Linked DNA regions of Tamandua tetradactyla. The protein of the gene in region 4 interacts with the protein of the main gene of each other region in a pairwise test. Links are inferred from orthologs where the notes say so. Each region holds a gene or a part of one and is shown on either strand. Other genes may lie near its edges.

What was found.
Region 1: the proteins of TXLNA (region 4) and CEP57L1 interact in binary tests that used the Homo sapiens proteins (3 or more experiments, as listed by UniProt). The two-hybrid records come from large-scale screens. The link is inferred for Tamandua tetradactyla from reciprocal best matches to the Homo sapiens genes TXLNA and CEP57L1.
Region 2: the proteins of TXLNA (region 4) and KRT20 interact in binary tests that used the Homo sapiens proteins (3 or more experiments, as listed by UniProt). The two-hybrid records come from large-scale screens. The link is inferred for Tamandua tetradactyla from reciprocal best matches to the Homo sapiens genes TXLNA and KRT20.
Region 3: the proteins of TXLNA (region 4) and TCL1A interact in binary tests that used the Homo sapiens proteins (3 or more experiments, as listed by UniProt). The two-hybrid records come from large-scale screens. The link is inferred for Tamandua tetradactyla from reciprocal best matches to the Homo sapiens genes TXLNA and TCL1A.

What each region holds. Positions count from the first base shown.
Region 1 is NC_135331.1:167,541,514-167,549,361, forward strand, and holds the start of CEP57L1 (centrosomal protein CEP57L1), read left to right. Parts: upstream 1-4,836; 5' UTR 4,837-4,986; coding exon 4,987-4,989; intron 4,990-7,848. Other genes in the region: SESN1 (sestrin-1), read right to left, coding at 3,084-3,362. UniProt on the Homo sapiens protein: Centrosomal protein which may be required for microtubule attachment to centrosomes.
Region 2 is NC_135332.1:26,527,285-26,534,869, forward strand, and holds the start of KRT20 (keratin, type I cytoskeletal 20), read left to right. Parts: upstream 1-4,575; 5' UTR 4,576-4,640; coding exon 4,641-5,033; intron 5,034-6,453; coding exon 6,454-6,536; intron 6,537-7,585. UniProt on the Homo sapiens protein: Plays a significant role in maintaining keratin filament organization in intestinal epithelia. When phosphorylated, plays a role in the secretion of mucin in the small intestine.
Region 3 is NC_135338.1:56,901,402-56,908,906, forward strand, and holds the start of TCL1A (T-cell leukemia/lymphoma protein 1A), read right to left. Parts: upstream 3,018-7,505; 5' UTR 2,963-3,017; coding exon 2,843-2,962; intron 206-2,842; coding exon 35-205; intron 1-34. UniProt on the Homo sapiens protein: Enhances the phosphorylation and activation of AKT1, AKT2 and AKT3. Promotes nuclear translocation of AKT1. Enhances cell proliferation, stabilizes mitochondrial membrane potential and promotes cell survival.
Region 4 is NC_135328.1:193,695,612-193,703,281, reverse strand, and holds the start of TXLNA (alpha-taxilin), read left to right. Parts: upstream 1-4,653; 5' UTR 4,654-4,777; intron 4,778-4,990; exon of another isoform or gene 4,991-5,256; 5' UTR 5,257-5,379; coding exon 5,380-5,557; intron 5,558-6,162; coding exon 6,163-6,501; intron 6,502-7,670. UniProt on the Homo sapiens protein: May be involved in intracellular vesicle traffic and potentially in calcium-dependent exocytosis in neuroendocrine cells.

The DNA.
Region 1 (7,848 bases), on a different chromosome or scaffold from region 4:
AGTAATAGCAAGGACAGAACCTACTTAGGAGCTGTTTCTAATTGGATGTCTCATAGGTACCTTAACTTCAACATGTCTAAAACAGAACTCATCGCATTTTTATCTAAATTGATCTCCTGGCACTCTTCTGCTCAGGAAATGATTGCACTATTTATCAAGTAGCTTAAGCCAGAAACTTTAGAGCCATACTTGATTATGTTATTTTTCTCATGCCTCAACTAGTGGAATAACCTCCTGTTACTGCACACCTACTCTTGGCCCTTGAAATCCATTCTTCACATTGCTTCTCAAATGATGAATATCATCATCTTGGTCAAAATTCTTAAGTGGCTTCCTGTTGTTCCTAGGATAAAGTCCAAAACCCTAAACATGGCCTACAACACCCTCTGAGATCAGACTCCTGCTTAGAATACCTAATGCTTACTTAGATTTCTTAACTGCTAGCAGCTATGCTATGCCTTGCAAACATTACATTTTATTCTCATAGCAGTATTGTGAGGCAAGAACTATTAGCGTCACCATCATTTTGCAAATGAGGAAACTCAGTCAAGGGGATATTGTGCAATTTGTCCAAGGTGGTAAAGCCAATAAAGTATTGGAGGCAAGATTTGAATCTAGATCTGTCTGGCTCCAGAGCATGAGCTCTTAAACATTCACACTCTCCTGAAACTGTATGCTCCAATCATTTTGCATTACTTTCACTTCCTAGAACTCATATGCTCTCTCTTACCATGAGGCGTCATACGTAGCACTCCCTATATCTGGAATGTCCCCCTCACAAATCTCAAATTGTACAGGACTGGATATTTATTCACTCATCAAGTTTCTGCTTAAATGTCATCCCCTCAGAAAAACCTTTAATTTTTTAATAAAAAATTAAATTTTTTATTTGTTTAGATCTTCATGGCCTGTCTTTCTTCAATAGAATGTGAAAATTGTTCACTCATCCCCATTTCTTAGAATGGCATTCATTAGAGGGTCAATAAACAAGTGTTGAGTGAGTGAATGAATGATATAAGGGTGGTTATATCATTAATCTGGTAACTTCATCTATTCAGACTGATAAGATACAGAGAGAAGCCCAATACAAATGTCTATCCATTAGATATTTACTTAGTAGCTTCCAGGTCCCAGCCTATACTCTTGACAAATTACAATCTGGTGGGCGAGACAGACACATAAGCATGTGGTTATAGCACAGTATATGTAAAGTACCTGTTATATATGTGGTAGGAATAAGATGCAATAGGTGCCCAGACGAAAAAGACAGTATAAAGCTATGAGAAATCTTCACAGTAGAGGAGATTCTAGAATCCTTTAGAAGGATGGATGGGTCTTGAAATATATATTATATAGTCCATGTATTTCATCTAAGAAAGGGGAGATGAGCATACACTATTTACTGGGACACTTTATATCTCATTTAATTCTCAAAGCAGCTCTCTTTTTATGGATGTGGAAATTCAAGCTAAGAAAGATCAAATAAGTTGTTCAAGATTATGGAATACATTAAAAGAGCAGAATCTGAACCCAGATCTGTCTGACTCCAGTACCCATTTACTTACCAATATATCACAGTACTTTTACTGCGTACTCCCTTTGAGGCTGCTTACTTTTATTTTCAATATAACTTTCAATAAAATTGGTCATCTGGTTTCCCAGTCTAATATAAACAAGCAGCAAAATGAAAGGTTCAGGAAGAGACCAAAGTGAAGTATATGGATAGCAAAGGGAGGGACAGAAAAAACTATAAAAATTGGACACAAAAATTTAAAAAAAAAGCATATCAGGGAGTATCTGTTAGTGCAGTGTTATACAGTCCTATACACTCTACCCTCCACTGTACAACACTACTTGATGTGCATAATAATGATGACACCATTACGAACAAAAAGGTTGTTATGGTCACTACAGTGTAAGAGATAGAGAAATAACTTCTGATGCTTGAGCAAGTAAACTTCAGGTATCTTAAAAATTAATTTCTCCCTGGTAACTATGGTTAAATGAATTATAATGGTTGTTTTCAAAGTGTTGAGAAGAAATAGCCCAAGATCTTAAACAGTCTTTTCATGTTATGGAATTGTTTTCCTGATGCCTTAAACCAAGATCAAGAGAGTATAGAAAAACTGTCAATCTCAGCTTACAAATATTGCCAAGTAAATTATAAATTTTTAAAACTTCTCATACTATGACTTTGAGCAACACGTGTGGACTGAATAATGTGTAGACTGACAGTCATACATGAAGAGTGTCAATGAAGAATCTTAATATCTAAAAACAACCAACATCTAATAACCTTTCAATAAGTCAGGATAAATTGATTATGTATAAAACAGGGGGAAAATGATAATATTTTTAACCTGCTGCACTCATAAATAGGTATGTGAAATAGAAAAGAAACAACTCTAGGTAACACAGAAGATGGTTGAATTATTTACCATAAAAATGTTTTCACTATATACTCTACCTGGATCCAACTTTTTAACTTGAAGATGTCTGCTTTTTTTTTTATAACAAAGGATTTTATAATTTTAATAAATTTACATTTAGAGAACACACCCTAGATTTTTTGTTTTTGTTTCTTTTGCTTTGTCTTTAGAGAACAAGAGAAAATTTGTTTCACCAATTATCTTGAACAGGCAAAGAAGGAAACATTTAATATCCTTTATAATTTGATATGTTTTTGAATGTAAAACTTTTCACATAGAACATAGTTTGCAACAATGTAAAAAGCTAACAGTTCACAACATAAAAGTGACTATAAGGAAAAGCAAGTCTTGTTATTAACTGTAACTTTCACCTATTTTTTTTCCAGAAGGAATGGAGTTGCTGTCTAAAACTGTCTAAAAAAAGAATACTTCGTTTATTTATATTTGGAAACTATTTTTACTTTAGTTCATTTTGTTCAATTTAAACCCCCAAATCAGTGTTTTACAGATCATTCTAAACTTAAGACATGGAGTGAATTTATAATATGAATTCATAATATGACAATCTATTGGAAGCAATACAAAGTGAATAATAAAATAAATAAAAATTTCACTGTACATAGACATAGTTGTACTTTTAATATTCTTTCTTACCTGGACGCTCTTCAGAATAAACTCACTTTTCTCTCGTACATCTTTAAAAGGACACCTCATAGAAAGCATGAGCAGATGAGCAAGAAGCTTATTCAATCCATCCAAAGAAACAGCATTTGAAAGACCGTCTGATGGACGAGAAGGTGTGTCTTTTAACGAACGAAGATACTCGGTTTTCCTCAAAATGATTTGTCTAATGCTTTCCAGTGCTGTCTCTCTAGTACTTGAATCTCTACTGCACAGACCATCCCATCTCACTTCACTCTCTCCTTCGGCCATGACAACTTGGGAGTTTTTCCTTTCCAGTCTTCAATTATCTTTCACCATGTCCCCCAAGGCACTGTATTTTTAAAATGAGAACTATAAGAATAAAATCAGAGAAATCGAGTCGTCATGAAAAAACACGTTTGAGTAACATTTGGAATCAGAACTCTTACATTGATGCTTTCAATTCTCTCCTTTTGCAAGAAGGGGCAGTCTTCTGGTCAGAGACTGGAGAGAAAAAAAAGTTGGAAAGTTGTAACCCTACAGCGCTGGCTTTGCTGGACACGGCGCCTGGAGGAAGTGTTCTCCGTCTCGCCCGGTCAGCGGATATCCTCACGTTGTGGAGTTGTCAAATCCGTGCTCTGCCCCAAAAGGCCGGTAACAGGGAACGCTCTCCAACCATTCGGGTTTTTTAGCCTGAGCAGTCACCGCGTTCTCGGGAGCGTCCCCGCCCTCCGCAGCTCCTCCCTGCGCCGCAGAGGCCAGCTGGGTGCCGGCGGGACGGCTCGCCGAACCCTGGCCCACTGGCCGCCGCGGCCAAGAACCCGGGCGCTCCCTGGGGGCGGTAACCTCCAGCAGCCGCCGTCTGGGCGAAGGCGGCAGCACTGTTAGAGCACAGCACTCACGTCCAGCCGATTCGAATGCCCGGAAAAATGCCGCTGCTTCTCCGAGTCCTGTGTCCTCGGCCAGAGTCCGCCAAGCCAGACGGGTACTGGGCGGCCCTGGCAATCCCCGAGCGTCGGGATGGGCCGCTGAGCAGGCTGAACTGTAGGGCCGGAGGCGCAGAGTCCGCCCCTACGCCCAGCCCCATCGGTGGGGATCGGCCCAGAGGCGGGAGCAGGGAGGGGAGATGGGGTCCTCACCCCCAGCCCCTCCCCTTTCTCCGCCCGGCACAAACCAGGAGCCGCCCCTGCCCCCGCGCTCTCTTCCCCGCCCAGACGGACGAGACCCGCGCAGGCAAAGCCATTGGAAAAAGCCCCGCCCTCCGGCAGGCTACCTCCAGACCCTGAGTCTGCGCGAGGTGGGGCCAACTGCTGCCGGCTGCTACGCATGCGCAATGGCGAAGACGGCGCATGCACCTCCAGAGGCATTTAATATTTTGTGGGTGCGAGTGTGGGGGTGTCGTTTTCCGTTTCCAGGCATTTGGAGTTCTGGAGTGGAGAAGGGGAAAGAAGAGTAAGAAGGAGTAGAAGTTCGCTGAAATTGTTAAAAACAATACGCACGGCAAAGAAAGGAAAATCCTGAGGCTAAATTAAGACTAGCCTAAAAATGGTGACGGCCTCTCTGTTACGCCAAACCCCAGATTTAAGTAGCTAGGACGTTCTCGCATTGGCTTCTGGGAAATATAGTTTTGATGCTGCCGGAGCGGTCTGTTTGCGACAGAAACTACAAGTCCCAAAGGCCACCGCGACGTTGCCTGCTGCGGCCTGTGAACCAACCGTTAGCTGAGGCGCGAGTTGATTGAAAGCGCCAGCTTGGTGAGGTCCGTTGGCTACCTTTTTTTGACAGGACTTTTTCTTCCTTCTTTTCTTCTGGGATCTTGAAGACGAGATCATCTAGAGCACCCCCCCTCAAGTGCGGGGGCTTTTTCTGATGACCTGAGTGGGAAGGGCTAGTCCAGGTGCCCATATCCCGTGGTATGGTGAGGCTCGGATTTGGGGGTCGCGATGTTGGGGGTCGGAGGGAGTGGCCTTCTTTGGGAGTCAAGGGGGAAGCTTGGAAACGGGTGCTGCAGGTCCGCGCTGTCGCCGGTTTTCGCCCTTGCAGGTGCACACACGCGAGATGGATTAGGAATTCTAGTGCAATTGCACCTTGTTTGCATCTGTACCGGGATAGACTGGGCTCTGTTTGGTCAAAGCACATCCCAAGCAGGGCGTTGAAAGCGATTTGTCAAATAACGTTTTGCCTGGGACTAAAGGAAAAAGAATTCCTAGTGTTGTTATATATGACTTATGCAGACTTTAAGGATACCATATGAAAAACTCTAAAGACCTCTGAAATTAGTATCTTTAAAGTTCAATTATTTGTTTACGAATAATTGTTTGTTTTAAAAGTCATTCTTTTTGAGAAAAATCGAGGATTGGAGGGTAATAATGATAATCAGACTAGATTTTATCTCTTCACGTTGCAGAATGTGTAAGACTTTAGTCTTGCTGGGCATAGTGTACAGCTGTGAAAAAGACACGGCCCCTGTCTAGTTAGTAAAACCAATGGTTAGGATGCACGGGTGGTTCTTTGGTAGAATGCTTGTCTTCCATGCAGGAGACCCGGGTTCGGTTTCCGGGTCAGGCACCCCCCCCCCAAAAAAAAAAATAGTTAAGCGTACAATTTCAGTACTATTATGATAGTGCTCTTGTTGAGGATGCTAGTAAGGTCACCTAGCCCCATCTTGGAAGGCAAGAAAGTCTCCTTCCCAAGGTAATTGGGGATCAAAATAACAAAGAGCAAATGCTGAGGCCCAGGGTGAGAGAGATTTGATACTTACAGGAAACTGCAACAAAACCAAAGCTATATCATTGAACTGATTTATACCACCAATGAATTGGTCTAATTTGGCAAGTTTTGCTACATTTTAATGCTAATGGTTTGGATCTGAGTAAAGATGGTGTTTGGGTTTGCTAAAGCTGCTGGAATGCAGTATATCAAAAAGGGCTTGGCTTTTTCAGTGGGGATTTATTAAGTCACAAATTTGTAGTTCTAAGGACATGAAAGTGTGCGAATTAATGCATCAAGAGAAAGATACCTTCTTTGGGGAAAGGCTGTTGACGTCCGAGGCTGCTGGCATTAGGGTTTCCTCTGTTACATGGGAAGACATATGGTAAGGTCTGCTGGTCCTTCTCTCCAAAATGTGTCGGGGTTTCTGTGGGTCCTTGCTTATTTCTCCCAGGGTATTTCTGTCTCTTAGCTTCTCCAGGGATATTTTCTTTCTTAGCTTCTCCCTGGATGTTTTCTTTCTAAATTCTCTCTCCATAAGCTCACTTAAAAGACTTTTTAGTAAAGGATTAAGACCTACCTTGAATGGACTGGATTACATCTCAATTGAAATAGCCTAATCAAAACAAGCTTCACCCATAGTAGGTCTGCACCCACAAGAATAAATTAAAAGAATGTAGTCTTTTTTTTTTTTATAACAGATTCAAATCAGCACAGGTGGGAATAACTGCTCTTATGAATGTGATTTACAAAATAAAAAAGCCCATTTCTCTCTCTGTTGTGGGCTTATCCTTCTTTACCCAGCCCACAAAGTCTAAGTCCCCTTTTTACTCTGTAGCTGAATATGATCTCAGCCATACCCATGGCTTCACCACTACCTATTTGTGGATGACTCCCAAAGGTACAGCTCCATCGACTTTATCTTTCAGCCTTCATATATCCAATGATCTCTCTGCTGTTTCTTCTTGTATATCTCAAAAGCACCTCAAACTCAATATGCCTAAAACCAAATTCACAGTTACCTGGTTCTCTTCCAGTGTTCTGTCTCAGTATACTACTGTCTGTCTACTTGTGAAATTTTGAAAGCTAACCCTCATTCTTGATTCCTTTCTGTTCTTGTACCTCTATAGCCAAAATATTACCAAGTGTTATCAATCTTAAATCCCAAATACCTCTCCAACCCATCTGTTTCCCTTTATCTACATCAGTACAGTCCTATTCTAAACTGCTATAATCTCTTGTCAAGACCACTGCAATAGTCATTATTCACTCTGGGCCTCCTCCATTAGTTCTCCATACAGCAGCCAGAATGATCTTTTCAAAATGCATCCCATTGCTCTTAAAATAAAAACAAAACTCCTTAACATAACCTTTAAAGCCCAGCATCATCTGATTGCCTTTCCACTTCTCCAGCTTCACTTAGTATCATTCTCTAACTCTTTCCCTGTGCTTCAGCCGTAGAGAGAGACCTTTCTTCAGTCACTGGTTCTCACCACATTCCCTTTCACCCATTCGTTTATTCAACATAATTGTTGAGTGCCAACTATGTAACAGGATATAACACTGAGTACACATACAAGTCCCCCCATCCTCCTGTTATAGAGCTTGCATTCTGCTAAGGAGAGATAGACGATAAATAAATAAGTAAAATATTTAGTACATCAAATGAAGACAGATGCAGTGGAGAAAAATAAAACTGGGATGGGGAATGGTGCCAAGTTGTGGGGGCAGGGTTCACTTTTATATATGGTGGTCACAGATGACTTCATCAGGAAGGAGACATTTGTAGGGATCTCTGTAGGGGATGGAGGATTAAGCCATTAAGATTCCTTGGTGGGTGGGGTGGGGGGAGAATATTCAGGAACAAGGCCTGTGAGGGACCATGCCTGCACATTTAAAAAAGGAGGCTTACTCTGGCTGGGGTATAGTGAGTCAGGGGATAAAAGCAGCATGAGGTCAGAGTGGAAGAGGGTAGAGCTAGATCATGTAGGTGATTGAAAAGACTTTGGCTTTTTTTATTGATATGAAGAAGCAATTGGAGGGTTCTGAGCAGATGCAGGCGGGGTCT
Region 2 (7,585 bases), on a different chromosome or scaffold from region 4:
TAGTTTGCACTTTTTGTGTCTTATTTAAGAAATACTCCTTTACCATGATTCCTAGTAATATTATTCTTTATTTTCTTCTAAACATTGTATAATGTTTACCTTTCATATTTATACCTTTAATGAACCTGGAATTTATTTTTGTATATTATGGGTATAATTTGCATGAGATAGGAACACGATTTCCATTTTTGTAATATGAAAATTAAATTTCCATCTACAGACCAATTTCTCAGCTCTATGTGTTGATCTGCTGGTTTAATTGCAGATCAGTATAGGAGCCATTACCCATCATGTGAAAGACATAACTTAAAACTAGAAAATGTATTTTGCATTCTTAATTCATCAATGTCTAAATTTAATCCCTATCTTTGTCCTCTTTCTGAATAATCAAGGGTCTTAGAAAAATGTAACTCCATTTATTCCTTTTCAGCTCTCATCTCCTTTCACTTGTATTGTGCTTTTCTTCTCAATACATGTATTATTTTATAGCCAGTATTCATTCTAATTTAATCACATATTGAGCACTTTCTTTGATCACTGATCCATTCCTGCATCTCAGATCTTCCATCTGGGATCACATTCCTTCTGTCTAAAATATATTCTTTCAGATTGCTTTTAGTAAGAGTCTGATGATGACAAACTATTTTTTCCTGAAAATGTCTTTCTTTTTCCCTCATTCTTGAAAGTGTTACTGAATTTTATATTAACAGGTATTTTATCTCAGCATGTTGATGATACTGTTCCATTTCCATTGTCCATTGTTGGTGTTGAGGTGTCAGCTCAACCATTTCTTTGTTGATGATCTGTATTTTCTCCCTACCTGCTTTTCAGATTTCTCTTTCTTAATCTGGCATTCTGATTTATTTAGAGGTGATTTATTTTTATTCATTTGGGTTCCCTGCATCTGAAAATGAGTTTCTTTAAGCAATTATGGAAAATTTTCAGTTTTTATCTGTTTGCATATTTTCGCTTTTTTTTTTCCATTTTCTTTTGTCCCTTTCTGGAAGTCTGACTAAAACTACCAGGCTAGCTTTCATGTCTCTTGACTCCTCTTAGTCTCTCTAACCTCAATATTGGATAATCTCCATATTGGATAATTTCTTTGGAGCTATCTTTTAGTTCAGTAATTGCCCTTTAGCTTTGCCTAATCTGTTGCTGAACCTGTCCCTCCTCAATGGGTGTAAAAAGATAGGTAGAGATCAATAAATCAATAGATAGATAATTCATTTTAGTTATTTCCATTGTGAGGGACATTCACGCTATCCAGTCTGCCATACCCCATGATATGGAAGCCGTGGTTGACAACTGTTTTACTTTCTTAATATGACTAGCAGAAACAGCAATCAATGGGCATTGAGGGTCCCCTCCATCCAGAATCTCATTGTGGAGTCAAACTGGCAAATGCTTCTTCTCTCCTTGAAGTTGGGCTTTAATACTTCTATTCATTTATTCATTCATCATTCTCATGACAAGTCGATACTGAAGACCTACAATATTTGAGCCAATATGATATGCCAAATTCACCAACTCATTGAAACACAGCAGGACAGAATTAGCAATTAAGTACAAATCAAAACTTGAATATGCCAGATTGCATAATATACAATAAGATAAGTTTACCACATCACTTGTTTATATGTCTCATTATAGAAAATTTCAAATACAGTAGTCATCAGACTAGTATAAAAATTACCTGTGTACCCATCTCCCAGATTCAACAAATAACTCATGGACAAACTTCTCTCATCTATATTCCCGCATCATTTTAAAGCAAATCCAAGACATCATATTTCACCTTTAACTATTTCAGTAGGTACAACAGTTTTTAAATCACAGAGGCCATGTTTTTTTTTTGTCTTAACTTTGCAATGCCTACAAATATCCACAATTCACATATGCCATCCTTCTCAACTAATTAGAGCAATGCATCCCAACTGAGATGCATGGAGAAGACAATTCTTCCAGAGACAACAGATTCTAGATTTATAACATCTGAATTGCAATGGCTTGTCCGTGACGGAAAAAAAAAAAAGTCCAAAATCTCTGAAAATTTTAGTTCTTATGCTAGCTCTCCAAATTACTGGCCTTACTTTATATTAATCATGAACACTCTTGGCAAAGTCTGAGGTCAAAATGCACCTCCTATTAGGTACAAGGAAACTTTACCTTTATTTCAGATTACTTTGTGTGTAACAAGAGTCATTAAGACCTATATCTGAGCCTCAGGTATAATTCAGAAAAATGAATTGCAGTGAAAGACTAGTCTGATTTCCTATGGTCATGTTATAAAATATAATAATTAATCTACCAAAGCATAAAACTCAAGATAATAGAGGAGCCAGCAAATTCTTCTACCCTTATGTAAAGATGCTAAAGTCTTCCCGATAGGAATTTTTCCACCCTGACAAATAAGTGGATTAGATGACCGAACCCCATAATAGCCCTATTATATTCAAGTTTAAATGGGAAATCTCAAAACCTACAAAAATTGTTGGAATAACCCATAATTAATATTATTTCTTGAAAAAATAAAAAATGAGATTTTTAGCTCTTTGAAACAAACATAATTGGTTTCTGCAATAAAGAAGAATAATGTTAAAGAAGAGAACAAAATTTATCACATTTAATAACTGCATTTATTTTTCTTTCTAGATATAACAGACTACCGATTTAAAGAATTCTTCTTCGTGACTTAATCATGTGATAGTAGATGAGCCTCTTAGCTGAGGCTGACTGCAAAACTTCTGAAATTTAAAAAGCACAATTTTCCAATGACTTTAATCAAACAATCTTTGCTTCCTCCATTAAACACCAAAAAAATATTAATTTTGCACATACACATCTAAAGGAAAACATGGTTCACTATTAGTTATTTACTACCAATTTTAGCTGTGAAATCTGTTTACAAAGCATAATTTTTAGCTTTCTCATAAATAAGATCTGTTTGTTACATGTTCAGTCATTGGCAGCAGACACTCAATAAATGCTCATTTATGAATGAATGAATGATATGTGAAAGAATATAAGTGAATGAATGAGTAAAAGCTGGCCACACATACACCATAAAATGCATGAGGTAGGTTTAACTATCTCACAATTTTAACTTTAATAAAAGTAAAAGTAACTGAGACAAAATCTAATTCAAAGTATTATTTCAAGTATATTGTTTATAAGGGAGGAAAATATAGTTTCACCTTATTTTGGAAAAAGGATGTTTGAAAAAGAAACTCAAACCCAACAAGTAAAAAAATCACTGATTTTCTGAAGAACGCCAATAAAAAAAAGAGAAAAATCACTAAACAGGACACATTTTTCAAATTCTTCAAAACAAATGTGCAAGAAATGTGCAATTCTTCAAAACAAATTCAATTAAAGTAGTGAGATCATAATGAGTTTTCCGTGGCTTTTTCAATGTCTTTAACTTAGTAAGGAAGAAACTTAAATGCTCTAGGGGAGGTGTAAATTCCATTAGGAGATTCGAATGAGGAGAGTAAAAGAATAAATCCCATTCAGTTCAACAGTGTTTATTGAGTGCCTACGATCACATTCCCGCTGATGAGAGGGCGCCCTCAGCTCACCAAGTATCTGGAGGTGGAGTTGCAGGTGCTGTGGACTCCAACCTCCCACCAGGAAAGCTAGGTGCTGTGCCAAGGTGCTGCAGAACAGCCTCCTATATAGGGAATTGCCAGTAGGCTAGTGTATGGGTCCTGCAAGGAAGATCAGACCTCCATAAACACACCTGCCAGTGAAATCCATTGAGGACTCGACAAGAGAGCAGCTGTGGCTTCAGGATGGATGGAGGGGAGCCTGTCTAGTGGTGGATAGTTAAGCTGAAGCTGAACTTATACAGGGGAGGGAGACTTCTCTATGCACCATGCCAAGTGCAAAGTACTCTGCTGAGGAGTCTAAATTTCTTGGTAACAGGCTCTAACATCAGATAGTTGTTGATGAATTTAAATGCATTATCTAGCCATAGAACATTAGAATTAGAAAAAGAAGCAAAACCTTCAAAATCACCTAAATTCATTTAATTCACTTTCCCAAACTATATCCATAAGTGTTCCAATCTATTATTTAAGGTTTTGTGTTCATTTTAAATATTCAAGATTTTGTGTTTGAACAGATTATTATAATAGTTCTTATAAAATAAAACGTCTAAGCAGGGATAAACTTAAAAGCAAAAAACAAACTAGAGTTCTGAAGGAACAATCATTATAAATAAACATTGTCCTTTTTCACCAGTGACTAATTATGTACTCACATTTGTCCTTTTAAACATCTTAATTACTCATGAGGTTTGTAACTTTATGTGTATAATAGGATGAAAAAAAAAACATGCCAAAGCAGGTGCAACGGCTAGAAGAATACATTTTCTTGATTCTTTTGTTACTTCTATTAAAAAAAAAAAAAAAGAAATCGCCCCTGAGAAAACCTCCAAGAAGTGCCTCTGGAATAGAATTAGACATATTGTTGCACAAAAAAAAAAAGCAAGGCAAGGTAGACTGTGATGTCACTGCCAAAGTGACATGTCAGCAGTTCTCTCTCCGTGAACACTATAAAAGTTTAACTCAACATCCACTGTGCGACAGACTGGGCTCCAGCCATTCTGAAGCTACAGGTTCTCTCTCCCAGATTCCGCAATGGATTTCTCGGGCAGACGGGGTTCCTCCTCACAGGTCTCTGCTTTCAGTGAGAGCGATTACGGGTTCTGGAGTTGGGGTGTGCAGCGCCGGGTGAATGCTCCCAGCGTCTATGGGGGTGCTGGAGGCCGTGGCACTCGCATCTCCACCTTCGGACACATGGGGAACCACTGGAATGAGCTCAACCGCGGGTTACCGTTTGTTGGCAATGAGAAAATGATGATGCAGAACCTAAATGATCGGCTGGCTATCTATTTGGGGAAAGTGCACTCCCTGGAGCAGTCCAACTCCAAACTCGAAAGGAAGATCAAGCAGTGGTATGACACCAAAGCTCCTAGCAGCGGTCGAGACTATAGTGCATATTACAAACAAATCCAAGAGCTGCGAGATCAGGTGAGGACTACTGTGTTTTCTACTCCACTCTTTAGCTGCGTGGTGGGTCTAGAAGACACATGTGTGTTAAGTGGGTCAAAATGGATGTTCTAAAGCCAATGAGGCTGAGATGTTAACTTGGTAAAAAGGCTATTCTCTATCATCTACTTTATGCTGGCATGCCTCACTGCATGAGCATAATAGGATGGCTTTAAATCACACTGTTTAAACACTTTATATAATTACATACAAAATATGCAATTCCATCCTTCAGTTTTATAGTCTGTGTTTTGTTACAGTTTACCAGATCAGGGCTAAATGGATGGTAAACTTTTTTTGGAGAACAGCAAAAATTTCTTTACATGATAATGATCTTTCTTAATTTTTCACCTTCTCTCCATGAACTCTCCCACAGTCAGTCCAGAGATTTTTCTCCTTTCACTTATATAAATGTTATATATGAGTATTAGAATCACATATTATAGATTTAAAGACAAAGTGATTTAGGGTGGAAGCAGGGGCAGGAAGTACAAATCATAATGAGGCCTGGATTTATAAATGCCCTGTTTCATAACCTTATCATGATCATCAATCAGCCCAGGAACTGTTTCTATAGTAATAAAATGTTACATTGCTCCCAATTCAGATTTATTGCAATCACATCAATACCTGTTCCCATGTCATCCAAGAAAGGTGGCGTTCCCTATTTTATCATTTACATGGAATAAAAGCAGACTTTACTCCTAATTAAAGATTTCAGGTATGACACAGAGCACTTGCTTTGCTCTAAAGTTCTTATCTAATCAAGAAAAATGTCCCCTTCATTTTCATTTCTATTTTAAGATAAATATTTTTTAAGAGCAAAGGCCTTACTTACCAGCAAGTCTGTTTTTCTTGGGAACAATTAGGACACCAGCAGGACAAGTGATTTGATTCAGGTTTCACAGGAACTTATGCTGGGGTCTCAGAACCCCAAAAATATGAGACAGGGGTGTTCAAATTGCCCTCCTGCCAAGAGTGGCTCCAACTAAAAACGTTCAAAATAAGGCAACCATTCTCCCACACCTGTCTTACAACTGACATCTCTGAGATGGTCTAAGGTGAGACATGAAGGAAATGTAGGAGCTCACCAGGGGAGAAGAGCTAACAGGAATATTCCAAGCAGGCCCCCAGTAAAGATTCATTGACTCAAGTTGAATTAAATTCTCCTTTACTATAATCACAAGAAAAATGACCAAACCCTGGGAACCGGAGTTGCATTTTATAGCTGTCTTATTTTAAATGCATTTATCATTATTCTTCCTTGCTATTTTCATGTGGAAATTCTGGAAATGAACATCATCCCTGTACATAAAAGTGGTTCTAACTGAGGATAAATGCAATCCTTTTAAACTCCTATCCAGTTGAAAATGTCATATTTTTTATATCATGTGTTTTCCAGATTAAGGATGCACTACTGAAAAAAGCTCGATGTGTCCTGCAAATCGATAATGTTAAGCTGGCTGCTGAGGACTTCAAAATGAAGTAGGTTCTCTAATACCATGGAAAACTGCCTAATGAGGAACTGCTTTTAGTTGTCCATCATGACACTGGACATTCAATATTATTCTTAGTACAGCAGCTAACCATTAAAAAGTCTCAGAATCTTTTTCTTTTTTTTTTTTCTTTTTTTTTTTTTTTTTTTTGCTATGGGTAGGCACCAGGAATCGAGCCCGCGCTCTCTGGCATGGCAGGCAAGAACTCTGCCTGCTGAGCCACCGTGGCCTGCCCAAAAAATTGCAGAATCTTAAAGGAAATTAGATGCATTCTGGTCTAGCCTAGGACTCACCTGCTGGACTTCTCTCTCTCACAGTCCTAAAATTCAGTCATCCAGAGTAACTGAACACCTCCAGGAACTAACACTATACCCAACAGTTAGCTTTGCTTCTTTCTTTTGGTAACCTGAAATCTACGTTTACACCCTGTGAACTTAATTCTGCACATAGTAATAACAAAGCCATTTTAATATAAGAGCCCTTCTGTTGTTTAAAGAGAGCCACCAAGTCTACCCTTAGCGATTCTCTAAGTGGGGCATCCATATTCCCTCAAATGCCTACATGTTCCAGGGGTGACTCTTGATGCTTCCTAGTTGCCTGCATTTTACAGTCTTGACTGACCAGCCAAAGACTTAGGACCAATCTATGATTATGTTCAAAATTGTATGAGTGTTTTTGGTACTCATAGCACACCACATGTAATCAGAGCTTTTCTTCCTAAACTTCTGCCACATACTTCCTTACATTGAATTTGTACAATCCATTGGCATTAAAAAGTCCTTTGTGGTTTAGAATGCTAACGTGGTTTAGCATTTTAATGCTACAAGGGATTAAAAAGAAAGAAATGGAAAAACAGATCTGAAGATTAAAGCAGTAAAATTCATTAGTGAAAGTTCTGCTAAGCATTTAAGTGTACATTTTTTTATTGCTGTTTTTTAAAAATGAGTGTATTTAAGATTTTAGAGGAGAATGCATGACTGTTCAAGATAATTCACCTTGGCTGAATCTGTTTACAAAGAAATAAAAATAAATTAAACA
Region 3 (7,505 bases), on a different chromosome or scaffold from region 4:
CCCAATCAGCTCCTGGAGAGTAACGCACACTTGCCTCGATATGATACACTATGCGCCAGAAACTGGAATCTGAACTCCGGTACCTTCTTGCAGGGTAGAGCTGCCACATCAGAGGCAACGGGGATGAAGGAAGCTGACTGGGACTCATAGCCTTTCCCAAGGGGACATCTTCCTGACGCATGAGTACTCGGAGGCAAGTATTCATCTGAAGAGAGAATGGAGGACCAGGGCGCACCTTTGCCAGGGCTCCTCCAGGCACAAATAAGCAGAGTCCTTCTTGATTATTTCAGCCTGGCAGGTGCCCAGGTCTGAGAGGCCAGCATTCACTGTTCCCAGAAGCTCAGTCCCTAATGCTGTGCTGGCTCTTCTCAGGAACCCTGGATGGCCAAGATGACAAGCACTCTCATGTGTCTAGCCAACTGGAGAGGGCCAGAAAAGGTAGACATTTTTTTCCTGACAAACTCCTATTGGCCAGGACATACTGTGGGACCCAGGTGTCCATTTCAGCTGTCATAGGATTTTCTTGCATTGCTCTTTATTTCTATCATATTTCCTCTTTTAACCAAGGTATCCCTTGACCACAAATCTGGTGACAGATCCCTTTGCATCACCATTCTTCTACCAATCATTTCCCTAATTTTTGCCTACTTGCTGGTCTTAGGCCCCACATTGGTTCTCTGCACAGCAGCCAGGATGAGCATCTAAAAACCATGCCAGTGTGCCACTCAAGACCTTATGCTTCTCATCACAGGTATATAAACCCAGATCTATACCATGGCCCATGGAAACCAAAAGAGCTGGGTCCCTTCTCTCTCTTGCTCTGTCCTTCACCCTCCCCTCCACTCCAGTCACTCTGACCCCTTGCCATTTCTGGGACATGCCACACTCATGTCTGCACTCAGCAACCCCTTGTACCTGTTGTTCTCTCTGCCTGGAACATTCTCCCCAAGACTATGCAGGGCCCAAATGTATGGATACCAAGACAAATATAACATAAAACAGAAAGATAGAACTGAGATCTAGTTTATCAGTTAGATCAATAACAGAACATGAGTTTAATTTACCAATTAAAAGAAAACAGTCAGAAAAATCTACTTCTGTGAGATACATAAAGACATGCCTAAAATAAAGAGATTCATCAAGGTTACAAACAAAATGATGGCAAAAATGTATCAGGCCAGTGCAAATTAAGACCCTCAGAGAAGTCTTGCCTGAAGATCCCCACATCACTTGTTGACCCCTCTTTCCTGTTTTAGTTCTCCTACAGAATTTACCAGCAGTTTAAGAATTATTTTGCTATCCATGTCAGCTTCACAAGTAGTGGAGATTTTATCACATTCACTGCATATCCCCAGAGCCTCAAATCATGATTAGCATGTATTCTAGGCTCTCCCATTTTTTCAATACTTTTTCCAAAGGAGAAATAGCTTTTTAAAATTTTTCTATGAAATAGAGTTCACTGTGAAAAAAATATTCAGCTCACATTGCAATCATTTTTGCTGTGTCAATGTCTACAATCTTCCATATCCATTAATTATTTTTAGTTTCTATTCACTTTTTTCTTGTTGATTTAAGTATATCTTTACATATTAAGAATACTGTTCCAGTCCCTTTGTCATGTGTGGCAAATTTGCTAGTGGGTTGTTTTCTGTGTAGAATGTATCATGGTGGTGCAGAAAACTTCTATCTGGTTCTTGGTTTTGGTGTCATGTTGAAGAAGATAATTTCTAACCAGGGATAAACAAAGATAGTAACCCAAAGATAGTATTTCTTCAAATACGCGACGTGAAAAAATCAGTATTTTACTTGATTTTTAAAAAGAGTGTGTGTGCATGTGTGTTTGTGTGTATACATGGATAGTTTTAAAATTTTAATGCCAATAAACATTCAAGGTTTAGACAGTGGTTAAGTGTCAGGAATCAACCCAATTACCACTACCAGTACTACCCGGACAAATCTACATTTTTATGCCTCAGTTTCCTCATTTACAATGGAGACACAGTCAATACTCAATAACCTTCTGCTGTTTACTATTATAGGACATAAATGTTCTAATACTTTATATTTTAATTTTGCTTTTACATTTTTTTCCTTTGGTTTATATATGGAAAGTCATTCAACTTTCAACCTTAAGTTTCTTTGGGGAAACCTGGGCTTTTGTGGAAGGTATTTGCAAAAGAGTTATATCTCTTTTTAAAAAAGAACTGAAGTTCCATCTTAAAGCATCATACATAAAACAAAGTCAACGTTTATTCAGTACCTGCTTTTATACTATTATATTACTTAAGTTTGTTTCTTTCAAAGCATAGAGGAGGCATGAAATACCCCCATAAATCTAGGGCATCAGTTTCCTAACTTGGTTGCATAGTCTATTGGGCACCCTTTTTGAAATGTAGATTTCTGAGGCCCAGCCCAGAACGTGTGATAACTGGCTAGGTGGGTAAATCACTTATTGTAGTGATCTATTATGCCCATTTTGGAGATTAGATACATAAAGCCCAGAAAAGTCCTGTCTTATTCAAGAGCATATTCACATGCTCCAGAGGCAAGAGGTTCCCATGCTTTGCTTCATTCCTTTGTGAGGTTCTCACCCTCCTTCCTTGCCTGGAGAACTCCTACTCATTTTTCTGGGGCCAGCTCAAAGTGGTTTCATCTGTGAGGCCAGGCCACCCAGGGAGAACGAGGCCCCTTTAGAGCCTCCTTGCTGTGACCCTCACCCAGGGGCCAGAGGGGCTCCTTGAGTGCTCTGTGCAGCCTGGGGTATCTCCAGTTTCCCCAGAACCGGGCCAGGGAGGCGGATGCTCCTGCTGACCCGCCCATCCGGGCCCCAAAGCAGCTGTACCTTGAGGCATACAGGTATCCAGGTGCGCTGATTCTCGTCCAAGTAGACGTTTCTTTCCCAGATCCACAGGCGGTCGGGGTGCATGGCTGTGGATTCCCTGAACAAGGGGCGATCGTCCATGGCGCCTCTCGAGTTCACTAGCAGATTAGCCAGACACAGGGCCCCCACGCCTTTATAGCGAGTGGGCAAGCCGGCGCCCCCACGCGGTGGGGCCGGAGGGGGGCGGGCGCTAGGCGGAGAATGGGGTATGGAGCATAGCGAAAGGGGCGGGAAGTGGGAGGTGCAAGGCAGAGGGGGCGGGGCGAGAGGCAGGAGCAAGGCCAGATGGGGTGGGGCGAGAGGCGGGGCCCAAAGCAATATGGGGCGGGGAGAGAGGCGGGGCCAAGCAGCGCCGAGCCTGCCGGGGGAGGATCCGTAGCAGGCCCTGAGGCCAGAGCTTGACCTGTAAACCCGGACCCAGGCCGCGTCAGTCCAGGAGCCCAGACCCAGGCCCCAGCAGGTCCGGGGCCTTTTCAGGACCTCCAGCTGGTCTTTCTCGCCCCTTCTTTGCCGTCCATTGCCCGGTAGGTACTCGGGTCTGTGGCCTTGGCTACAGCGAGAGCCATCCTGGCCCTCTTTTCAGCGCGCGGACACCACTGTCAGCCAGTGCGTGTGTCTGTCCAGGCCACGCCCCAGAGCTAGCAGCTCCAGGCCTCTGTGCGGAACTCCCAGGCTGCCTTTGAGGCCAGGCGGCCTGGAGCCGGTGTCCGCTTCTTCATCTTCTGGGATCAGAGGCCACTCAAGCGGGGGCCTGCTTCAGGCCTAGGCCTTCCCAGGTTCGTGGGCTTACGTTCAGCCTATGGTTTTGGGTGTCAGAATCAATTTCCTTGGCAAAACTTCAACTCTTGAGTCCCCTCCCTTCCCCCGAACACCCACTTTCTGCGGGTTTGGGGATGCTGTGGCCATCTAATAGCCATTGTGAAACCTGCTGGTGAAGAAACATGGTTTTCCCTTTATATGCTTTGAATTCATTACAGAAAGCATAATTCAAAATGAACACTTAAAAAGAAACCATCGCTTCTCGGCCTTTTGGCTAAGATCAAGTGTAAAAGGAAACCAAAACCCTCTCTTCACTCTAAGATCAAATGGATTTTTCTGTAAATTAAAGCAAATAAGGAAAATATTTTCACTTCATTTTGTAGTAGCATGCTCATTAAGGGAATTAAGGAATTAAAGTACAATGAGACAAATGTAAGCCCAGTTCCTGTCTCATTGTTCAAACATCACCACTGGCAGCAGTTTGGTGCCTTAACTTCTAGCTCTTTCCTCTCTCTCTGATTAGGTACTAAGAAAATAATCTGTGATCTTTTGGAATGTCATGAGAGTGAAAATGAGTTTAACTTTTGATCCTCTGGCAGCAAAAGTGCCTGTATGCTGCTCTGCTTATCCAGACAGTCTAATTTCCAAGAAGGTGCTGAAGTAGTCTAAGGTAACAGAGATGTAATTGAATTTACCAGGAGCCCAAAACAGAAACGAAAATCAAAGAAAAACTGGGGGTGGAAGGGAGGAGATGTGAGCCTAGTAAACCTTTTCCAGTCAATATTCAGTATTCAGTCTCGGGGTTTTCAGGCTGATTTCCCAATGCATGATTCTTGGCTCCACACTCAAAGAGAGCCACATGTAACAAGATGAAACAGTGGAATAGGTTCTGTTGCGGTGGTGTCATGGGCTGGCCAGAGTTTTGAGGTCAGAGATGATAGCCAGTCCATCTTAAACAGTGTTGCTGGAATGGCCTCTTGTGGCAAGAAAAGGAGGCTCCTAGGAGCGGGTGTGGCTGCTGCCCTAACCCCATCAATTGCCCTGTGACTTAGAATGCCACTGGGTCTGCAGATCTAATTAACCCTCACTCTGCTTTTTTAAGAGGACAGGAAGGAACAAGTAAAAGAGCAAGAATCAGACCCATTTGGCTGGGAGAGAAACTGCTCTGGATGTTTCAGGAATAGGATTCCTTTTTTCTCCTTTACAAAGACAATATATTTCTTCAGTTTCAGAAGAGGGCTTCTTAATATTGAACGAGAGTATACGTCATTCCTGTATGGTACTTAGAAAATCATATGAGAAGGGATTCCAAAGAGTGAAAAGAGAAATAAGCTTAACTGAGGAATTTAATGAATGGCTTCTTTGGGGGCCTTCAGTTTTTTTAGGAAATTCCATGAGAGGGAAAACAATAGTTATTGTGTGGTCCCAGGGCCAGGGACCCTGGTGCAAGTCTGCACCATGTTATCTGCTCCCTCTTAGAGCTCTATAATGCCAGTCAGAGAAGGTTTCAAGTTGCATGCTCCTTTGTGACTCTATTTTTATTGTTTTTATGTAATATAATTTATATTTTATAGTTATATTTATTTATTGTCTTACTCTATTAGTCTGCGAGTTCCCTGTGGATAATCAAGTGGGTATTTCTGTAGAAAGTAACATAAAACAATTATTTTGTTTCATTTTTTGGCAGAGTTGCTAGCTGGTGCTTTCATGTCCTGACTTGAAATCCAGATTTGACTTTGCTGCTATCACCTGTGAACCTAGCAACTCCTTTGCTGTCTGGACTTTGGGGCCACACTTTTGTAATGAATGGGCAAACTAGATGTGCTCTAAGTCCACTTCTAACTAACATTCTCTGATTCTACCATGACGTTGCCTAATGGGAGGAAGAAATATAGAATGAATTCAGGAAAACCCATAGTTTTGAGCAGGGTGATAATGGACAGGAAGGACCCCAGTGGAATTCATCCTTCTTATTTGGGTTCATGGCCATCAGTATGATGTTTAGCCTTTTTACTCAAAAGTGGCCCCTGAACTAGCAACATCGGCATCGCCTAGAGTTCACAAAAACAGCAGACTTACCTGAGTCAGAATCTGCATTTTAACAAGACCCCCAGGTGATTTGTGGGAACACTATGTGCCAGTCTATATGGAGGCACAGGTGGGAGAGCTGGTGGCTGTTTGCCTTATCCTGCCAATGCCCTCTTATTTCTCTATGACACAGGAATTGGATGTATGTTTCTGTATCATTTAGTGCTAGGCTACCTTTTGTCTTGTTAAATTCACTTTTAATATATATGATGTTTTCCCCTTAATAGAAAATCCTGGGAATTTAAGTCATCATAACCAACTTCAATGATTGTTGCAAGCTACAAAGGGTCTACTTAGAGGCTAATCAGGTGTCCAGGCCTCTGGGGCCCTCCACTGAATGGTTTTAAACACTAAGCCAGTGGGTGGTTGTGTATTAGAATCACCTGGAAAGCTTGACAATCTACCTGTGCCTGGGCCCCACCCCAGGCCAAGTAAATCACATTCTCTTGTGGGTGGGTCTTAAGCATTAGAATTTTTAAAAGAGGACTTCTCAAGTGTTTCTAATGCACAGCCAGGCTTGAGAACTTGCATTAGTGTTTTTGAGGTGCAAACAGGGTTTATAAAACCAAATAACCATAAAATGGTAATGCCAAAAGCCATTTTTTTACTGATAGGTCTCATTGTAAAGCTTACCCTGACCCCATGTTTTTACTTCTTTGCCTTTGCCCTATTTTAAATTTGCTGCTTCTAATCTTTAGTGAGTGGGGAACTGTAATACCCAGTTTATTCGTATTGTGAGGGGCTGACATCTCTCCAACGCATGAAACCCAGGAGCCCTGATATGTAGGTGTTAAGGCACCCATGCTGGCTGCTGAAGTTTTCTCAGGATTTCTGGCTCTGGGGCATATTTTGGATAGCTGAGGCTACTGATCAAGTGAGCTCAGGTTTAAAAAAGTTGTTAGAGCCTTAACCCATATGGGCTGAAATTGTATCTCTACATTAATGGAGAATCTGGGATGAGGATTTTCCAAGTAGAACTCAGGAGACGGATTCTAACTTTGTCCACTGCGTGGTTCCCGTTTTTCTTTTTAAACTTAACAGAGCTTTCTTTAAGCTTTAAGTGCTTGTCAAACCTTAAGGGTCCTGTGGCGATCTTGTTAAAATGCAGATTCTTAGTCATAGTTCTGGGGTGGACTTCAAGATTGTGCATTTTAACAAACTGCAAGACTGGTCAGTTGACCACCCCCAAGCAGCTAGGCGCTGTACAGTGGTCCACCCCACCCCAATATACACACAAAAACACAATTGCAGAAGCAGAATACAACCCTAACCCCTACTCAAAATCCCCAAGGGTTGCCCCTGCCAAACTGATGGGTGAGCAGCATGGATTGAAATTGCAGCAGACTCTGAGTAGGAATGCAGTCTCCCCAGTTGCCCATAGGCAGGTTTATCTTAATTTGTGTTAGAAACAGATCTCAATCCTGGGATTATTCCACATTTTGGGTTTACCCATAGTATAACTGGATATCACCCTGGTTTTTACTCCACCCTCCATTTTAATTTGATTCTATTCATTTGCCCTCAAAAAAAGAGTTCATCTGCCTCTTCATGAAAACTGGCTAGAGTCTTGACTCATAATTTCAACTTTTCTGTTATATATAAACTGAGATAAATGTATTGTATTGCTTTTAGCCTTCACACTGAGAATGTTCTTTTGTACAATATCCCTTGATCCAGCCTTTTAACTTTAAGTATATTTTACATGGCATTCTAGTCAATTAACATGGTGTAAGACTTTTTTTTTTTTTAATGATGGTAGGTAGGAATCTAGCTGTAT
Region 4 (7,670 bases):
GGCATAAATGACTCTTCCAAGGAGCAGGTATTGATGACCCCACTTTCAAGGATCCTTGGTGTTCTCTCTTACCTGGATCTACGTTAGATCTGTTCCTTCCACTCTGTTTGCCCTGGAGGTCACCTTCCAGAAGGCCTATTTTCTGGAGATGAATTGCACAGATTCTAGCTGCTACTGTACTTAGTCAAGGGAGAGGGAAAGAAGGCTTTCAGGCACACATGTTCTGTTTCATTCAGGCTGAACCAGTTTAAAATGAAAACCATCTAGGAGAGTGAATTGGATTTCCCCGTCTTCTCTTTGGAGTTTCCCATATTCTAGGAAACTGGAAGGAAAGGAGATGAAAACTTAGCAATACTTCCTTCTTTGTCCCACATGCCCCTCTTTGAAGGTGTCAGCTCATTTGCCCAGGTCTCATCTCTTCTCTAAACTCATTCAACTTGGTATCCATCATCTTGGGTTTTCCTTAGTGATTTATCCTATAGTCTCATTCTAAATTCTCAGTAGAAGGCAGGAAGCCAAATTCTTCAGGTCCCTGTACACTCCCATGGGGGCTTCAGGTATGTTATATGTGCCTGTCTGCCTCACTGACAGGCTGGGGAAGGATCTAGGGCCAGGACTCGGAGCCACAGCAAATGTTCATAGCCAGCAACATCTTCCAGGTAGGACTACCCTAGAAGTGAATGAGTGTGGAACTGAGATTGTTCAGAGGACATTTCTTCCACAGCCATGTTAGGATTACACTAACCTTGTCCAGTAGTTTTTTTTGTCATAGTTTGATTCTTTTGTTGAGCCAACAAGCTGAGAATTTGGCCCTATAGGGATTTATCTGGTAGGCACTAGGCTGCTATTTGGCCAATGCCTTCATAATGATTCAGCCATCCATTTCTGATCCCCTAGCTCCAGCCCTGAATTAAGACCATGGCAAGGGAAGAATTTGAGGTCAAGACTAACCAAATCTTGTAATTCAGCTATTATTTTTCCTCTGAGAAGGCATTTTGCAAATACTGTTAACATTTTTCATTTATAGCAAAGCAGAAAATAACTTTTTAACCTATGTTTCTTATTCCTTGCCTGCCTGCTCTACTCATACTTCCCATCTGGCCCCTATAGGTCAGTATTAACTCTTGCCTGCTACACCTACCCAGGCCTGGGCTGTATGCAGAACCAAAATTGGCTATGAGAGTTAGAAGAGGCCCAGAACACCCTATGAGAGCTGCTGTGTGGTGTAAAGGTCTTCAGTGAGCTTGGGCTTCACTGGCTAGGCCAGCCCAGCTTCTCATCTCCATTAGCACTTGCCTGAACCTCTCTGCTGAATCCCGTGTTCCCTTATGTATGTCTAGTTTTCAGCCCCTAGGTTTGGGAAGAGAAAACTGCCATCCCCTGGGACAGTGAAGAAAGGCATTTCTCAAAGGTTCTGAGACTGGCTAGAAACCTTTGACTCAGAGAATGTCCTCTACAAGAAACCTTGGACCCTGAAGTTGAAATTTGGTTTCTTTATCCAGCTTTTGTGCGAACTGCCTTTGATTGAACCACTAGAGAAGGGAAAGGGTTATGGGGCCCTAGCCACCCAAGGCGTACCTGATGTTCCCTAAGAACAGATAGGCTTCCCAGCTACAGACCCTAGGAAGGTGAATACATCCCTTCACCTCACTGGTGTTTCAGAATTCATTTCCTTTTATTTTTCCAAGAACATAAACCGTCTGGCTATTTTCCATATTCTCAGGGCCCCTAGGGAGACAGAGATACAGCTTGATGATTTCAGAGCATAGGCATTGAGTGTTTAGTCCAGAAAAATGATATTTATATACACATCCAAATTTGAAGAGAAAATGTATTTCTTTAGGTTTCAAACACTGTAATAGATATAAAGCAAAAATAAAAACCTGTTGCAAAGTTCTAAATTGTTTCTTTTGATTTGGAGTGAAATTAAACTGAATTTTTTTGGAAGTGAAGGAGGGGAGGGTGTTCATGCCTGTAGCCTAATGTAGGAAGAAGAATTGCACCGGCCTGCTCCTGCTAGACTTCTTTTTTTTTTTTCAAATAATGAAGTTATAACGTACAATAAACTACATAAAGTGTACCCTGTGATAAGTTCGGACATATACTACCATGAAACCACTATAATCAAGATAGTGAACATAAAAGTTTCCATATTGGGCGGGCCATGGTGGCTCAGCAGGTAAGAATGCTTGCCTGCCAAGCCCGAGGACCCGGGTTCGATTCCCGGTGCCTGCCCATGTTAAAAAAAAAAAAAAATTAAAAAGTTTCCATATGCCCCTTTGGAGTCCCTCCTTCCTGTCCTACCCTCAGCAATTACTGATCTGCAGTGTGCCACTATAGGCTGGTTTGCATTTTTTAGAGTTTCTATAAAGGATGTTGACATCATTTCAGTCCACTACTCTTTAAAAGGCTTATAGGCTTAAGTGAACATTATCCTCATTTTGCCCATGAAGAAACAATACCACATACTTTGAGATCATATAGTTTTGTTTTTCGTTTCATGTTTTTTTTTTTTTGTATGGCAGAGTCACATTTCATTCTTTTTCCAGATTGTAGCACCATTATTGGTGCACCATTTGTTGAATTTTTTTGTTTGTTTAGTTTTGGGAAGTGCATGGGCCAAGAATCGAACCCAGGTCTCCCACATGGCAGGCAAGAATTCTACCACTGAACTACCCCTTGCACGCCCAAGATCATATAGTTTTATAAATGCCTTGCTTCAGTTTAGATTAATTTCTAAAGCAGAGAAGCAGCCAAAAGTTGATTTTGCCCAAAAGAAGAGTTTTGATTGGCCAATAGAGTGTGTTTAAGTTTTAATTAGTTGCCAAAGTTAAAAAAAAGTCAAGATAATATCTTGTCTTGAAAAATATTGAATATCTGGCACTGTTCGGCCTAAGTTTTCTGCTTGGCAACAAACTGCAAAAACTGCTCTATTTTACCATAATCCTCACTATTCCCAATTGTATTCCTCACTCTGTCAAGTGCAAATATCACTACCATTTTTCTTTTCCAGCAAAGGAGAAAGTAACATTTTAACTCATATTTCTATCAATTTTTCTTATTGCCCACCTACCTCCTCTATTCCTATTATCATATACCTCCACAAGACATTTCCAACATGCTGTTATGGAAATAATCAAGTACGTAGGGTAAAGAAATCTGGATTTCAAATCCTGGCTCTTTAGGACACTGTCTTTCTGAGCCTCAGTTCTATCATCATACCATTATACCACATTGCTTCCCACTCAGTGTTCCATCAGACACTGGTGCCGCCTACGGGCTGGGGAAGATTAGGCCCAGCACTGCCCTGAAATCTTAACCAAGCCTGTGCTGTTAGACTGGTGCTAGGCTCTGGAGCTAGAAAATTTAGTCAACAGTTCTTTGATTTGTAAGTAAATAGTAATTTCAACCGTTTCGAATAATTCTGTAATTGAACTCTGTCCAGACTAGAGTGAGGACAGACTGCAGAGGATTGAGAACATACTGAAGTGACCTGTAAGCATAGCCACAGAAAATTTTGTTTTTGCCAGAGGGTCATTTTGAAAGAGGGAATATGACCTGCAAAAACCTGGGAAATTGCAGAAATACTAAAAGCACAGTTGGAGCCAAAAGGCAGGGAGAAAGAGGAGAGTTGGTTGGAAAGAGGCAGCAGCCAAACCATGTAGGCTTTAAATTCCAGGCACAAGGATTGTCTGCCATTATTCCATTATCTATAGGCGGTGGCAATAAAGAATTGCAATCTCACATTTGGAAGGAAAAAAAAACTTGGCTTTCTTTTTTAACTCTGGTGCTACTGGGACTTACTCTGTAATAGGTAGGCCAGAGAAGAGACTTAGGAATCTTTGCCTGAAGCCAACCTCTCCTGCAGGAACCCCTCAGACCCTTCCAAAGAGGGACTAATGGCCAAGTTGGTGATAGGAAAGAGGGTAAAAAAAACTTAGTTTCACAAGTTACCTTGACATCTTCAGCGTAAATATGCCATGATTATTTCTTTGGTTATTCTAGGTGAAAGACAGTGACAGACTTTCTAGTTTTGACTCCCTGGTCTAACTACCCATTTGTAGTATGACCTTGGACAAGTTATCTTTTACCCCACTGTCCTCACCTGTAAAATGGGAATAACAACAGTACTTACCTCCATGAGTAGTTGAATATTGAACTAGTAGATACCAGAAATGCACACAGCAAACGGTCAACAAACTGTTACTGTTATTATTAAAAGCCCCTCCCTTGAATAAGCAAATAGGAACCCAGTCACTACACAGCAAATTAGTGTACTCAGGACTGGAATACTGGTTTGGTTCCCAGCTCAAGATTCTATCCCTTGCCCTGACTCCTCGGAGTTCGTACATAGCCACAGAAGTTCACAGTAAAGAGTGAAGGGATGGTGGAAGCATGCAAAAAAGAATAACCAGGCGCCAGGCCTGGGGACTGAGTCATAGCTTCTACGTAGTATGAAAAGAGGTTGACGTGGGTATTGTGCAGAATGACTAGCTGCTTTCAGAACTCCTGAGTATCTGACTGAGAAGACTAAAGCCCTATGTACTGCATCTTGGGAATTGCGGTCAGCTACCCCGGTGCATGTAGGGACTCGTAGTCCTCTCCCTCCTCCGCCTTCCCAACGTAAGCGGCCTCAAAAGGCGGCTTCGCTTCGTCTTTCCCAGCAAGCCCCGCGAGAGCGCGAGCTATTGATTGGCGGCGGCGGCGGCACTGCCGGCAGCGGTTGCCCAGGGTTTCCGGTGCGAAGCTACAGCGGGTGAAGCCGTCGGGCGGTGAGGTGCGTACTGTGGCGACTAGTGGAATGAGACGATCGGAGGGCCTATGGGCCTTGATGCTTCCGGCCAGTGGGAGGAATCACGCTGACTCCACTCGTGGGCTCGGGCCGGAGAATGGGTTAATGCCTATGCGCATGCGCGGGGGTGTCGCGCACACCGTTGGCGGGCGCGCGGGGCGTGGGTGTCTGCGCGCGCATGGGGGCCCACGTGGTGCTTGGGGGCGGGGAGAGATCGGGAATCGAGCCTCCCGCCACGTCAGTCTCCGGCCTTGAGCCAATCCCGCTCTTTGCCTGTGGTGAGGGGGCCGTGTTGTGCCGGGAAGTGGCTTCGGGGAAAAAGAGGCCTCTTTCCTCGACTGCTCCAGGAGTGGAGCTCGGAAACCTGCCTTGGCAGGCCAAACTGCCCCGTCAGCCCAATGACCAGCAGAACCGTTGGCTCCCTCCGGTGAAGGCCCGCCAATCTGTTTTTGTTTGTTTTAAAGAGCTTTCTCGCCCGGTCTTGGAATTTCTGATCCAGAGAGGCTGCGAAGAATTTCCAAGTCTGGAAAATAGCAGCTGTGTTTGTTTCTAAAGGATCTGCTGCTAACCTAGCATCGCAAACCACAATGAAGAACCAAGACAAAAAGAATGGGGCTGCCAAGCAATCAAGCAACACTTTCAATCCAAAAAGCGGCCCAGGGCAACCGGAAGCAGGACCGGAGGGAGCCCTGGGGCGGTCCAGCCAGTCGACTCCGGCGACAGAAGCTGAAGGTTCCTGCTGCCAGGCCCCAGGGAAGACTGAGGGTGTGTGTCAGCTCTGCTTTTCCGGTGGTCATGGGGAGGAATCTGTGGTACGCAGGTTTAGCTTCCGGAGTGAGAGGCCAGAGATGTAGATTGAGAGAGGACAGTGCTGAGTCTGTGTGACCCCCACCGTTTCTTGGGGAGTTGGTAGAACCTCCCCCTCCAGCCACAGGAACAGAACTCTCTTGAGAAAAGGCTCTAACAGGATTAGCCAAGTGACAGTCAAATGAGAGACCCAACCTGCAAATCCAGGTCCTGTTAGGTAACAAATCAGTCACCAGTGGGTCTATATTTGAGGCATTTCTGGAACTTTTTAAATAGCAAACTATGGCTTTAGGGGGAAGGAGAAAGTGATGGACTAGAAAGTGAGCTCCTGCTATATGTCTAACTGGTGCAATGTGCTTTACGTACTTGACCTCTTATGCTTACAACACACCTTCTTGGGTGGTGGTAAGGGGTAGTTATACTATTTTATAGGTAAATAAAATGAGGCTTAAAGAGGTTAGGCAGTGTTTAACCCCAGCCAGGGAGTTTAGCAGGGCCTGAAAAATCCCAACCAGTGGTATAACCATCTTATTTCTCATTCTGTCCCTCATCTGCTGCTGTAGGGGCTCAAGCCAAAACTGCTCAGTCTGGGCCCCTACGTGATGTCTCTGAAGAGCTGAGCCGCCAGTTGGAAGACATCTTGAGTACATACTGTGTGGACATAAATCAGGGGGGCCCAGGTGAGGATGGGGCCCAGGGTGAGCCCACTGAACCTGAAGATGCAGAGAAGTCTCGGAACTATGCAGCAAGGAATGGGGAACCTGAACCAGGGACCCAAGTTATCAATGGTGAGAAGGAGACCTCTAAAGGGGAGCCATGCACAGAGGAGATCCGAGCAAGTGACGAGGGCGGAGACCGAGACCAACGAAGGCCACAGGAAAAGAAGAAAGCCAAGGGTCTCGGTGAGCAGAGGGCAGCTACATGTGAGGCTGCTGAGGGGAAGGCATTGGGACCCAACATTACTTGTGCTAACTGCTCTGCCAGAAGTTAGAGGAACACAATACTCCACAGAGCAGTGAACCATCCTAACTTAGTTCAGTGGGTGGCATAGAGGTCTACAGGTTGTTTCACTGCACAAGGGCGCCTGGCCTTGGGAGCATGTGAGGGCTGACATCCATTCTGATCTCTCTTTGAGAAACAGAGAGCCAGAGGCCTGGGTGACCGTCTGCCAGCCAGAACTATCCCTCATCTGCTGTGTCACCTTGAGCAAATACTTCCCTCCTTCTGGCCTTAATTTCAGCTTTGCTTTGTGAAAGGATTGGACTAGACTGGGGTCAAAAACTCAATTGTCTGCACAGGCTAGCCAGGGAGCCCCATGAGGACCAAGAGAGTTGCCTATTTCATTCACTTTATCTCAGCCAATTGATAGCATGCAAAACTACAGGCTCGTGCATCTGGAATTTTGTTTCTTTGTTTTTTAAGAAAAAACCAAGAATCTAAAGTAAAATCTCTAGATTTTTAACTGTTGACAAAATGCTATGAGCCAAACAAAACCCACCCATGGACTGCATTTGCCCTGTGTTCTAGAGATTTGCAGTGTCTGTACCCATCTCTTGGAGCCTCCCAAGGCTGACACTAGAGGTCCCTGGGTGTAAGTGGCCCTGCAGGGTAGAAAGGAGATTGACTCAGGCACAGGCAGTGCAGAAAAGATGGTGACCGACAGTCACTTGACAGCCTTCAGAATAAGGGTATTAAGAATTGAGGTTGGGTGACATTATATGCATATCCTTTTCCCCACTTTCCTACCCTCTGCCTGTGGCCCTAATTTAAAGAGGAAATACTAAAAAAAAAAATCTTACGATCACGTATATAGAAGATATATACTTTTTTTTTTGTATGCTGTATAGTGGGGTCACATTTCATTCTTTTTCCATGTGAATATCCCGTTACTTCAGCACCATTTGTTGAATCGTTTGTTTTGTTGGTTTCTTTGTTTGGGAAGTTGTATGGGCCAGGAATCGAACTCTGGTCTCCCGCAAGGCAGGCGAGAATTCTACCAATGAATTCTACCAATGAAAGTATATACCTCGCACCCCGAGGTATATATTTTTTAAAATTCATCATTTGGCTT